2 linked regions of the Drosophila melanogaster genome follow. Changing the gene in region 2 together with the main gene of any one other region gives a genetic interaction. Each region holds a gene or a part of one and is shown on either strand. Other genes may lie near its edges.

Evidence for each region.
Region 1: of Snx16 (region 2) and nwk, changing one suppresses a phenotype caused by changing the other (phenotypic suppression), as found in Drosophila melanogaster (one study listed by BioGRID).

The regions. Positions count from the first base shown.
Region 1 is NT_037436.4:9,135,859-9,140,931, reverse strand, and holds the start of nwk (nervous wreck), read right to left. Parts: upstream 3,073-5,073; 5' UTR 3,043-3,072; exon of another isoform or gene 2,968-3,042; intron 2,351-2,967; 5' UTR 2,256-2,350; coding exon 2,235-2,255; intron 2,160-2,234; coding exon 1,930-2,159; intron 1,840-1,929; coding exon 1,312-1,839; intron 1,027-1,311; coding exon 144-1,026; intron 82-143; coding exon 1-81. Other genes in the region: Use1 (unconventional SNARE in the ER 1), read left to right, coding at 3,829-4,180, 4,275-4,631, 5,031-5,073. UniProt on the Drosophila melanogaster protein: Adapter protein that provides a link between vesicular membrane traffic and the actin assembly machinery. Acts together with Cdc42 to stimulate actin nucleation mediated by WASp and the ARP2/3 complex.
Region 2 is NT_033778.4:17,724,274-17,728,734, forward strand, and holds Snx16 (sorting nexin 16), read right to left. Parts: upstream 2,575-4,461; 5' UTR 2,452-2,574; coding exon 1,426-2,451; intron 1,366-1,425; coding exon 1,229-1,365; intron 1,170-1,228; coding exon 1,109-1,169; 3' UTR 757-1,108; downstream 1-756. Other genes in the region: Dlish (dachs ligand with SH3s), read left to right, coding at 1-580; CG4975 (uncharacterized protein), read left to right, coding at 2,665-2,676, 2,731-3,811, 3,873-4,036.

The sequences.
Region 1 (5,073 bases), on a different chromosome or scaffold from region 2:
TAGCCACCCATCGCCGTCGCCTTCGCCAACCACCTCGAGCTGTTCATTTTCGACGATGGTGAGCTCGTCGGGATTCTGGGCCTGTGGAAAAAGTGAAAAATTAGTGGCAAGAAAAAGTATATAGTTCTTTAAAGCTCACATACCGTATAGCTGTAGAGTGCAGTGCACTTGAAGATCGCCTCCTTGGGTTCTGGAACAATCGGTTCGTCCTTGTCGTCCTCCTCCTCGCCAGCTCCCCAGTTGACCTCAGTGGGATCATCCCAGCCACCAGCGCTACTGGCCATCATGGATGACGAGGCAGCAGCTGCAGAAGAAGCTGCCGCTGCCGATGGACGCACTTCGGGCTCATCCTCACTATCGCTGAAGGTACGATCCCTGGATAGCTGTTGCTCCTGCTTGGGCTTCGTTTGGGCAGCTGCCTGAGTCTCCTCCTTGTCGCTGTCGTAGAATGAATCGGAACTGGGATTCTCGCCCTGGCCAGAGGCGTCGGTGCGCATCGAAATGGAACTGGCCGAACGCGTCAGCTCCTGTACACCCATATTCTCGGCCTCCTGCACCCACTCGTCCACGTTAATGCCGCCATCGCGCAGGCACTGCAGACATGCCTCCGCTTTTGTCTTTTCCGTCTCGGATCGACGGATTTGATCACGGAACTCCTCGATCTTGGTGTCCAGATCCGGTCCATTTGGATCGTTGGGATCCGTGCGCTGGCCAGAGTCTCGCAGCGACTGGCACAAGGCCAACTTCTTGGCATTCTCCCTGATCGAGGCATTCTCCTTGACCACTCTTCCGGCCAGATTCTTGGCCTCCTTGGTTAGCGTCTCGGCGGCGGACTCATGCTCCGCGGTCACCTTGCGCACCGGATCATTGTCGCACGCCTCGAAGTCATATTGGATGTGCTGCTTCAGCACCGGATAGAATAGGTAGCAGCACTGCAGGTTGTACTCCCGCGTCAACTGCTGCGCCTGGTCACGGATCTTTCCGAAGCTATTCTGCGTAGCCGAGCAAGTCAACAGCTCTGTGCGTCTGGAAAAGATGTGTTTTAATGGTTAGGCAACATTAAGATAAAGATTTCTTAAGACAGCACTGTTATGTACATATGTACATATTGAGTCATAAGATTAAATAAAATGATTTAATAACTTTATGAGCCATATCAGGTAGCGCCATAAAAATTATCAGAATGTAATTGACGACTTGAGCAAACATTGATTAGAAAATGGCTTTGAACTTGTAAAATTTATAATTGATTTACCGATTTTGCACTTCTGGATGGTTTATAATTTATGAGCAATGCCATTATACACTTACCCCATTAACATCAGGTACTCGGCAACCCGCTCGAAAACATAGTTCTCCATGGTGGTCATCGTTGTCTGCAGATCGACGGTGAAGTAGCGATTCTGATGCGCATTGGCCGCCGCCAAGCTGAGTACGTAGTCATTCCGGGCGCCAGATGACTTCTCCTCCAGCAGCTCCTTGCGAGATGTGACCCGGGCGCTGTTCTTCTGCAGCGAAGTGATTGATTGAAAGAAGGAGCCCTTCTTCTTCTTAAGCTTCTCCTCGATATCGCGGGCCTTGTCCCGAACATCGTGAGCACAATGCTCTTCGTCAAAGTATGATTTCTTGGTCTTATCCACATCGCCCACGCTCAGATGGAGTTCCTTCTGCACATTGACAATTCCGGCTAGCGAACGCTTAGCTATGGCCAACTTATAGTCCCGCAGAACCTTGGCCTCATCCGCGATTTGCTGTTGAAACACCTCTATGGCGGCCAATCGAGCACGAGCCAGTTTCTCATTCTCCTCGAGCACAGTGCGCCAAACGCTCCACATGTTCCTATGAGATTACGTATAAGTAGGTGGGTAATTCAAATTGACTGAAGGTTCTCGAAAGAACGTTACTAGTTAGCTGGAAAGCAATACCCACCAGCGTTCCTCCATGCCCTCCATCTTAATATCTGGTATATTGGGTATCTTCTTGTTGAGATACTGCGATGAGATCTTCAGCAGCGACTCACTGTATGACTTCTCGACAGCGGAACGCTTGATGGTGAACTGCCGGATGTCCTCCAGGAGGTCGCATTCATGCTGATTCTTCAGCTGCAGCTTGGCCACCTGCTCCGTGTGCAAATTCTTGAGGAATTTCACATAGTTTCCCTGCAGGATTACGAGGTATACGATGAATGATTATTGTGGAACTATCTTTATCAATTCGATTTATTTATGATTTACCTTACGCGGCGGCGGCTGCATCATGGGGCTTTTTCTACGACAATCGGGTCACTCTACAATTGGCTTTTTTTTTCTATTTTAGCTCCGACTTAATGGTGTTACATTACCTCTAGCAACTGTAAATAGTATGATTGCTTTATGAGAGGATATGATATACGGGTATTAAAATACGATACGATATTTAAGATCCCATCTTATTTTTTTAATATAAAAAAATTTATATTTCAGTGGCTTAAAAGGGGAGATTTATTTTTAACGCCATGACTTATATCAAAGAATCTAACATTATCAAATTAAAGATTAGATAAAATGTAGCCCTACTGATATTTATTATATATATATATTTTCCGATTATTTTTGGCTGTGTAAATGGGTGGTGTTGGTGGTACATGTGGGTGGTTGTGTGGTCCTTAAGCCGTTAATAGGTTCGCTACGCAGCAACGGGTCTCAAAACTTATGTAACTGAAATGCAATGATAACTGACATCGAAACGCAAAGGAAATCAAGGGTTTTCTTCAAGCTCAAATCTAGTACTATTTTTAGCTGGAAATTTTCACTCGGGCAGCCCACGCAGCAGCCCCCCTTTTTTTGGGGGTATCGTATCGATTTCTCTGGCCCCGGACTAGCTTATTTTTTTTAAGCATTTACACCAACTACGTTATTCAAAACACTTGGCTAACACTTTTTTTGGACATGGCCGGTTAAGATGGTTGTTTTTCAGCTGGATTAGTACTTTTTGGGATTCTTATCGCTGGGTTTTCACTGAAATTTGTGGTCTTTTTCTGGGCAGCTAAAATCCGTTGCTTACTTATCGATTTCGATTTTCACGACGTTTGTGTGAGAACTTTTCAACATGCACCGTTAACTGCTGGTGCTGCTGCGCAAGAAGAGACCGCCAAAGAGAGCGGTGAGAGAAAGTCGAGAGAGAACGAAGTCGTGTTTCATTCATGGCCTCTAGTACCGTTAACAAAGAGGGTGAGTTTTATTGTTTTTGCCCCGTCAGCTGTTTGATAACACCTCACTTGCGTGTAACGGCACTTAAGGAAAATGAAGAAAAAAAAACTACTATAAAAATTCAACCTTTGAATGGTATGCCATTTGATCTTGACACCTGGCGTACGACAACAGCTAAAACAAAAATGTGCGTTTGCGTGAAACTACTCATATGCTGTGGCTATCAAAAACGGTTTAATTGATAACTTCAGATATTGGCCAAGAGGTTTGATAAGATTTTCGAGTCGCGCCCAGAAGTATGCATGCAATAATATAAATGCATTACGTTATCTTGAGAAAGTAGACATAAGCTTATAAATATGGCATATTGGGAACTTGATGTTTTTTTTCAAAAATTTTTAAAAATTAAATTTTAACAGGATTAGAAGATTATTTGTTTGTTATGTTTTTTTTACTTTATACATTTTTACATTCTTACATTTTACATACACATCCTCAATAATTTTTCATCACTACTCACGACAACCTATCGATAAGTTTCTATCGCTAATAGGACCAGCTGCTGACAACAAATAGGTTTCGACCTGGTATTTTAATTTAGGAATTTGTACTTTGTTGTTTTCATGTTTTCAACTTGAAAATGGCCACGAAGCTAAATGTAAATATTCGCACCCTGCTGGCCAACTGCGAGGAACTGGCCAAAAGCGAACAGAACTTCTGGAGGCTGCAGAAGTTCATTAAGTCCCTGGACACAATGCTTGCCGAGCTGGAGGCGATGGGCGATCCGCAGAGTGTCAAACGTATCCCGGGCTACTTGGAGCGCCTACAGGCCCTTAAAATATCCACCGGATATGCAGACGTTCCCGGTTCCACAACAAAGACTCCTTCACAATCCTCAGCCGTCAGCGAAACTGGGGAAAATGCACTGAAAGAAATAAGGCAGCTGCAAAACAGCAAATATCACAACGAACTGCGAAAGGAACTGCTCCAGGGTAATAAAGAATTAACAAACAGTTTTGTACATATTTTAAAATTTCTTAAATTCAAAAATGTAATAGTTCATAACTTAAAAAACATTTATTTTAGATTCCGATGCCCTGCGAAGACGTCGAGGAGCAGATGAATCCTCCTCCAGTTCTGGAAGCGCAAACGTTCAGGAAACTTCTGGTGAAAACATGAACCAGGCTGCCAAGTATTATACGAATGCCCAGGAGAAGATCACCGAGCACATGCTCTCGCTGACTCGGAACTTAAAGGAACAGACGGAGACCGCCAACAGGATTATCCGAAGAGACACGGAGGTTGTGTCGCGTTCCGCCGGAATGGCGGATCGCAATATCAATTCGCTAGGAAAAGAGGCTGAGAAACTGGAGCAACATTCGAAAAAAGCCTACAAGTGCTGGCTGTGGCTGATGATTGCCTTCGTAATTGCCACTTTTATAGGTGAGTCATTGTATTTTGTGGAAGTTTTGTTCAAGCTGCAAAAAAGAACCCCTCTTGGAAAATCCCAATTCATTTACTTAACAAATATACCTTAAGTTATCCAACTCAACAACACACATTTAAACACGTTTATAAACCAAGTTTCCTGAATATGTTAATCACAATATTATAAATATTCATTATAAGAACGAAAACAGATAAATAGATATTAGATTCCATTGCTATTATTATTGTATTTAAACTGAATACGAAAACACTGCGAGTCACTTCACTTAAGCCAAATAAACAAGTTTGCCGTGACTCAGTTTGAAATTACATTTCTTAATTGGTTCGATTTATTGCAGTTCGATTGTTGCTGCTTAATTATACTAATGAGTTTATTACCCTTTCAATTTACAGGTATGGTTTTATTCATGAAGATTATGAAGAAGAAGAAGTCGTA
Region 2 (4,461 bases):
CGCCAACAGCATAGAGAACACCCTGCTGGTGGAGCCAGAGTGTACTCCTTTCGTGAAGGAACCCTCCGGGCGCTGTATCGTCTTGTACACCTTTATAGCCAGGGACGAGAATGATTTGTCTGTGGAACGGGGTGAATTTGTTACCGTGCTAAATCGCGAGGATCCCGATTGGTTTTGGATAATGCGCAGTGATGGCCAGGAAGGATTTGTGCCAGCCAGCTTTATTTATCCTGCAGACAGTGTACGAGTTTTGCAGCAACAGAAAGCCACTTTAAATGCCATGGAGACCATTTTGCAGCAGGGTCAACAAGGTCAGCAGAGCCAGCAACAGCAGCAGCCTCAATTGGGCTTGGGAACAGATGATCTACGCTACCATGGCACGGAGCTGGTGATGCTGTATGATTACAAAGCGCAAGCTCCAGACGATCTGTACCTTTCTGTGCGGAGAGGAGATTGGATTTACGCAGACTTAACCAATCAGACTGTTGATGGCTGGCTTTGGGCTTATGCTCCGAAAACCCGCAAATATGGATTCATCCCGAAAGCCTATGCCCGACCACCCGCGATGACCAGCCTTTAAGAAATAGATTCAATACCATAATCGTTTTAATTATCACTTCGACTAACACTAAAGCGTAATATTCGTAAGTCTTCCAAACACAGTCGAATTGCATTTCGAAAAGCGTTTCTTTGTGGCTTGGATATTTTTATCTTGAACACTAAATTAATTTTCAACTCATAAATGCCATTTTCATTGAGTAATAAATTGTGCCTTAGATTTATTTTGTATGTGAGTTTGCATAACATATCGTATACACTTAGTCTAGTGATTTCATTCTTAACTGTAAGTGCCTCGTAAACGAATATCAAAAATATCTACTATCGTATTCCATATAGTACCAGCGTGGGCAGCACTTTGCTAGCATCTAGGTCTAGATATGAATACTAAAGCACTGTAGGGGCCAACCCCTCGATATGCACTTGGTTTGTATTATTGTATTGGATTTGCATCCAAGCGGCGCAGTTGCGTAGAGTTATGCTCAGCATAATGTTGTACGCACACGCACGTCCAACTGGATTTTGGTTATCACCTCCGATTGGCGAAGGTCTACTTTATTCCCAAACTGTCGCTAGCTGAGGAGCAGTGCGAGCAATTAAGCTCCATATTTCTGTAGAGAGAGATTGGCTAATGAGATTTTTGCATTTGTAAAAGAAATTGTTATCCTACTTCATAGCTTCTCTCAGCTGCTCCTTCTCGTTCATCTCCTCGCGCAGTTTCTGCTGCAAACTGAGAATGAGATCGTTTTTATTTCGAATCTGCAGCTTCAGATGCTCAATTGTCTCCTCCTGAGCTTCGAAAATTGCCTAGAAGTAAATGAAATCTTATATAGATTTGATAAATACATGAAAAAGAAATCATCCTACACGACACTCCTCCATGGATTCAGAGTACGAAGGCGGCTCGTCCAGGCAGAAGAACTCCCGAACCAGTTTGCACTTTCGCAGCTCCTCCTTGGCCATCACTGAGTTGACGAAGATCTGCAGACCTTGCACCCGATTGTCGAGAAAGACGGCATTGAAGTTATCGCCGAAAAGCTTCTTCCGGGGCAGCATGAGCGTAAGGTTGGGAAAAGCCTGCTTTAGCTTGCTATTGAGCCGCACGAAGTCGGTGTAGCGTCGCATAACAAGCCAATAGTCGTTGGTCTCCGGATTCTCGACTCGCAGCTTGTAGGCAGTGAAACGCGCACGTTCCTCCATAACCTCGTAACCAATAATGGGCACCCTTAGCACAGCGTTGGGGTCCACGGGCGGCACCACCGATCCCGAGGAGAGAGTCATCTGGCTGGCGAACATAGAGTTGGAGCCAGTGTGCCGGGAGCTGGATTGGCTGTAGCCCAAGCTGCACTCGCTCATCCGCCGAGGAGTTCTAGACCTGGATTCCAAATCCACGGAATGTCCACCTGCCTGGTTGCCATAGGACGACTGCGTCAGGTCGCGATGGGAACGTGCACCGCCGAGCATTTCGCTTTTGTTTATCGGCGTTCTCGGAGATTGTTCGTAACTGTGAGAGCTAATCCTTTGCAGGCAAACCTCTGACTTGGCGTTTGCCACCGTCAATGGAGCACCGGAGTTACTGGCCAGGATTAAACTAACATCCCCCTCCGATTTGCTGCGCAACAGGCTGTTGTTTTGGTATTTTCCGATTTGTCGTAGGTCAGGACTCGAGTGGCACTTGCGACCGAGTAGCTTCTGCTCCCGGAACTGACTCCGTTTGTCCAATCCGCAGACGGAGTTCCCAGTTTTGAGCAACGATTTCTTCGGTGACGTTATTGCTGTGCTGGCCTTCTTAAAGAGCGTTGCTTGTGAAGTTCTTGCTGGTGCTGCTAAATGGTTGTTATTGTTGCCGTAGCCAGTGCCTGTTTCTCTTTTCCGAAGCGCACGCAGTGACATTGCTTTGTTTATCTTGATTTCGCTGTAGCGTTTCGTTTGCTACATGACTTAGAAAATTTCCCAAAACGAAATTGCTTTTCTCCCTTTTCTTTTGTTTTCTTTTGTGGAGCGCAGTGTGGCCACACTCCGTTGACCCAATTGAGACAGTGTTGGCTAGCGCTGCACTGGCCAATCGATTACACTTGGCGGCAAACAGCTGTGGGTCTATCGAAAATGGAGCATGTGGTAAATATTATTGTTATTCTCGCGAGATTTATTTAAATAAATGATTTACCCCAGAAAAGCGAAACTAAAGAGCTGGTACACAAGCTCGTGCGCCTGAGCATAACCGAAAATGAGGAGGAAATCTCGGCATTACTCAAGAACCTACGACTTTTGCTCACAAAAGGCAGGGAAAACCAAGAGACTTTGGCTGAAAGTGCGGAGTTTTCCAGCTTTTTAAATGCTGTGGCTTTCAGTCCAGTGATGCGCACGGAGCATCGGCTTATACACAATCTATCTCTGCAGGTGCTAGCCAATAGTGTGGTTAACAATGAGACCACCCAAGCACTTATCTGGAGTCAGCATGGCTTGAAGATCGCCGAACAAGCTTACGCTTCTCCCTTGGGAAGTTCGAATAATGTGCTCCTCATGATCATGTACAACATATATATCAGTGGTCATGGTCTTATCACCGACTTGGTGGCACTTAAAACTTGTCTGCAACTGTGGCGAGCTCTAAACGAAGCCCAGTGCACCTATAACTTCGAGTATCTACACTTCTTCCTGGAGCACTTCATTGTCCAGAATGGACGAGCCTGCGTAGCTTGTTACCAAAAGCTGGAGACTGAAGATCGTGTTGCTTTCCTCGACTACGTGGCCCACTATCTGAGGGAAAACAGTCCCAATGGTGATGTTACGCTGTTTTTACTGCAGCACTTTGCTAAAGAATTCCGCATGAAATCCGATTGCCTCCTGCGTGAAACGATAAAGCTTAAGCATGAGCTTCATCCACGTGAAGTTCACACCTTACTGCGCATCATCGCAAGTGCAAGCGGCTCAGAGAAGTATGCTAATGTATATCCCAACGACCAATCGCTGTTCATCAACGTGAGCAGCCTGCTGAGATGCATTGTGTCTGCTGGCAAGGAACCGGATGGAGGCGGCCTTGATAAGCCCATGACGAAGCTGGAAGAGGTGGCACTCACTTCGGACATTGATGCGGGCTACGAAAAAAAGGTGTCCTATGAACTCAAAACGTTACTCGTACGCTGCTCCGCCAATCTTCTGTATGACAACAAGGCCAACAAGGGATACTGCCTGGACACACAGCTGCTGCCCACGCTTCTTGAATGCACAACGATGGATGCTCGAAACCCATGTAAGAAACATATTTGAAACAAGCTAAAGCATAGCTTAACATTTTACTTTTTATCCCTCAGTGATGCGGGAGTGGAGCATCTTGGCCATCCGAAACGCCTGCATCAACTGTCCGGAGGCGCAACAGGTGATCGCTGGCCTGACTATGCAGGGCTCCGCGCCCAACGACATCCTCACCGAACTCAACCTGGACATGGGAGCGCTACGCATCTCTGACAGGCAGTAATAGTTTCGATGACCTAGCATACAGCATACGTCTACCCATGAGAAATTGGCAAACGAGCCATGACCACTGGCTGGCCAACAAGTGGTTAGATGTTATTCACACCACGTCATGCTCCTCGCAGTCGTTGCCCCCCTTTTCGGGCTTTACGATGCGCTAATGGCATGCCAACAGATAGCCAAAGGCATTCATAAAAGCGATGTCAACGTTTAATGGTAAAACGGGGCGGAATTGTGGCGGTCGGCTGGCGTGGCTAGCGAAGATATAAAAATAGCTGCCCATGTACCATGCTCTGTGTACCATTAAAAAAGAGATGCCTAAATCCATCTAAATTCTAAATTTGTGCGCACACTGCCGCAGCAGCGGCGGATTCATCGGCGGAGTTGAGTTCATGTTTATGGCGTAATTAAGCAACGATGACGTCTGCT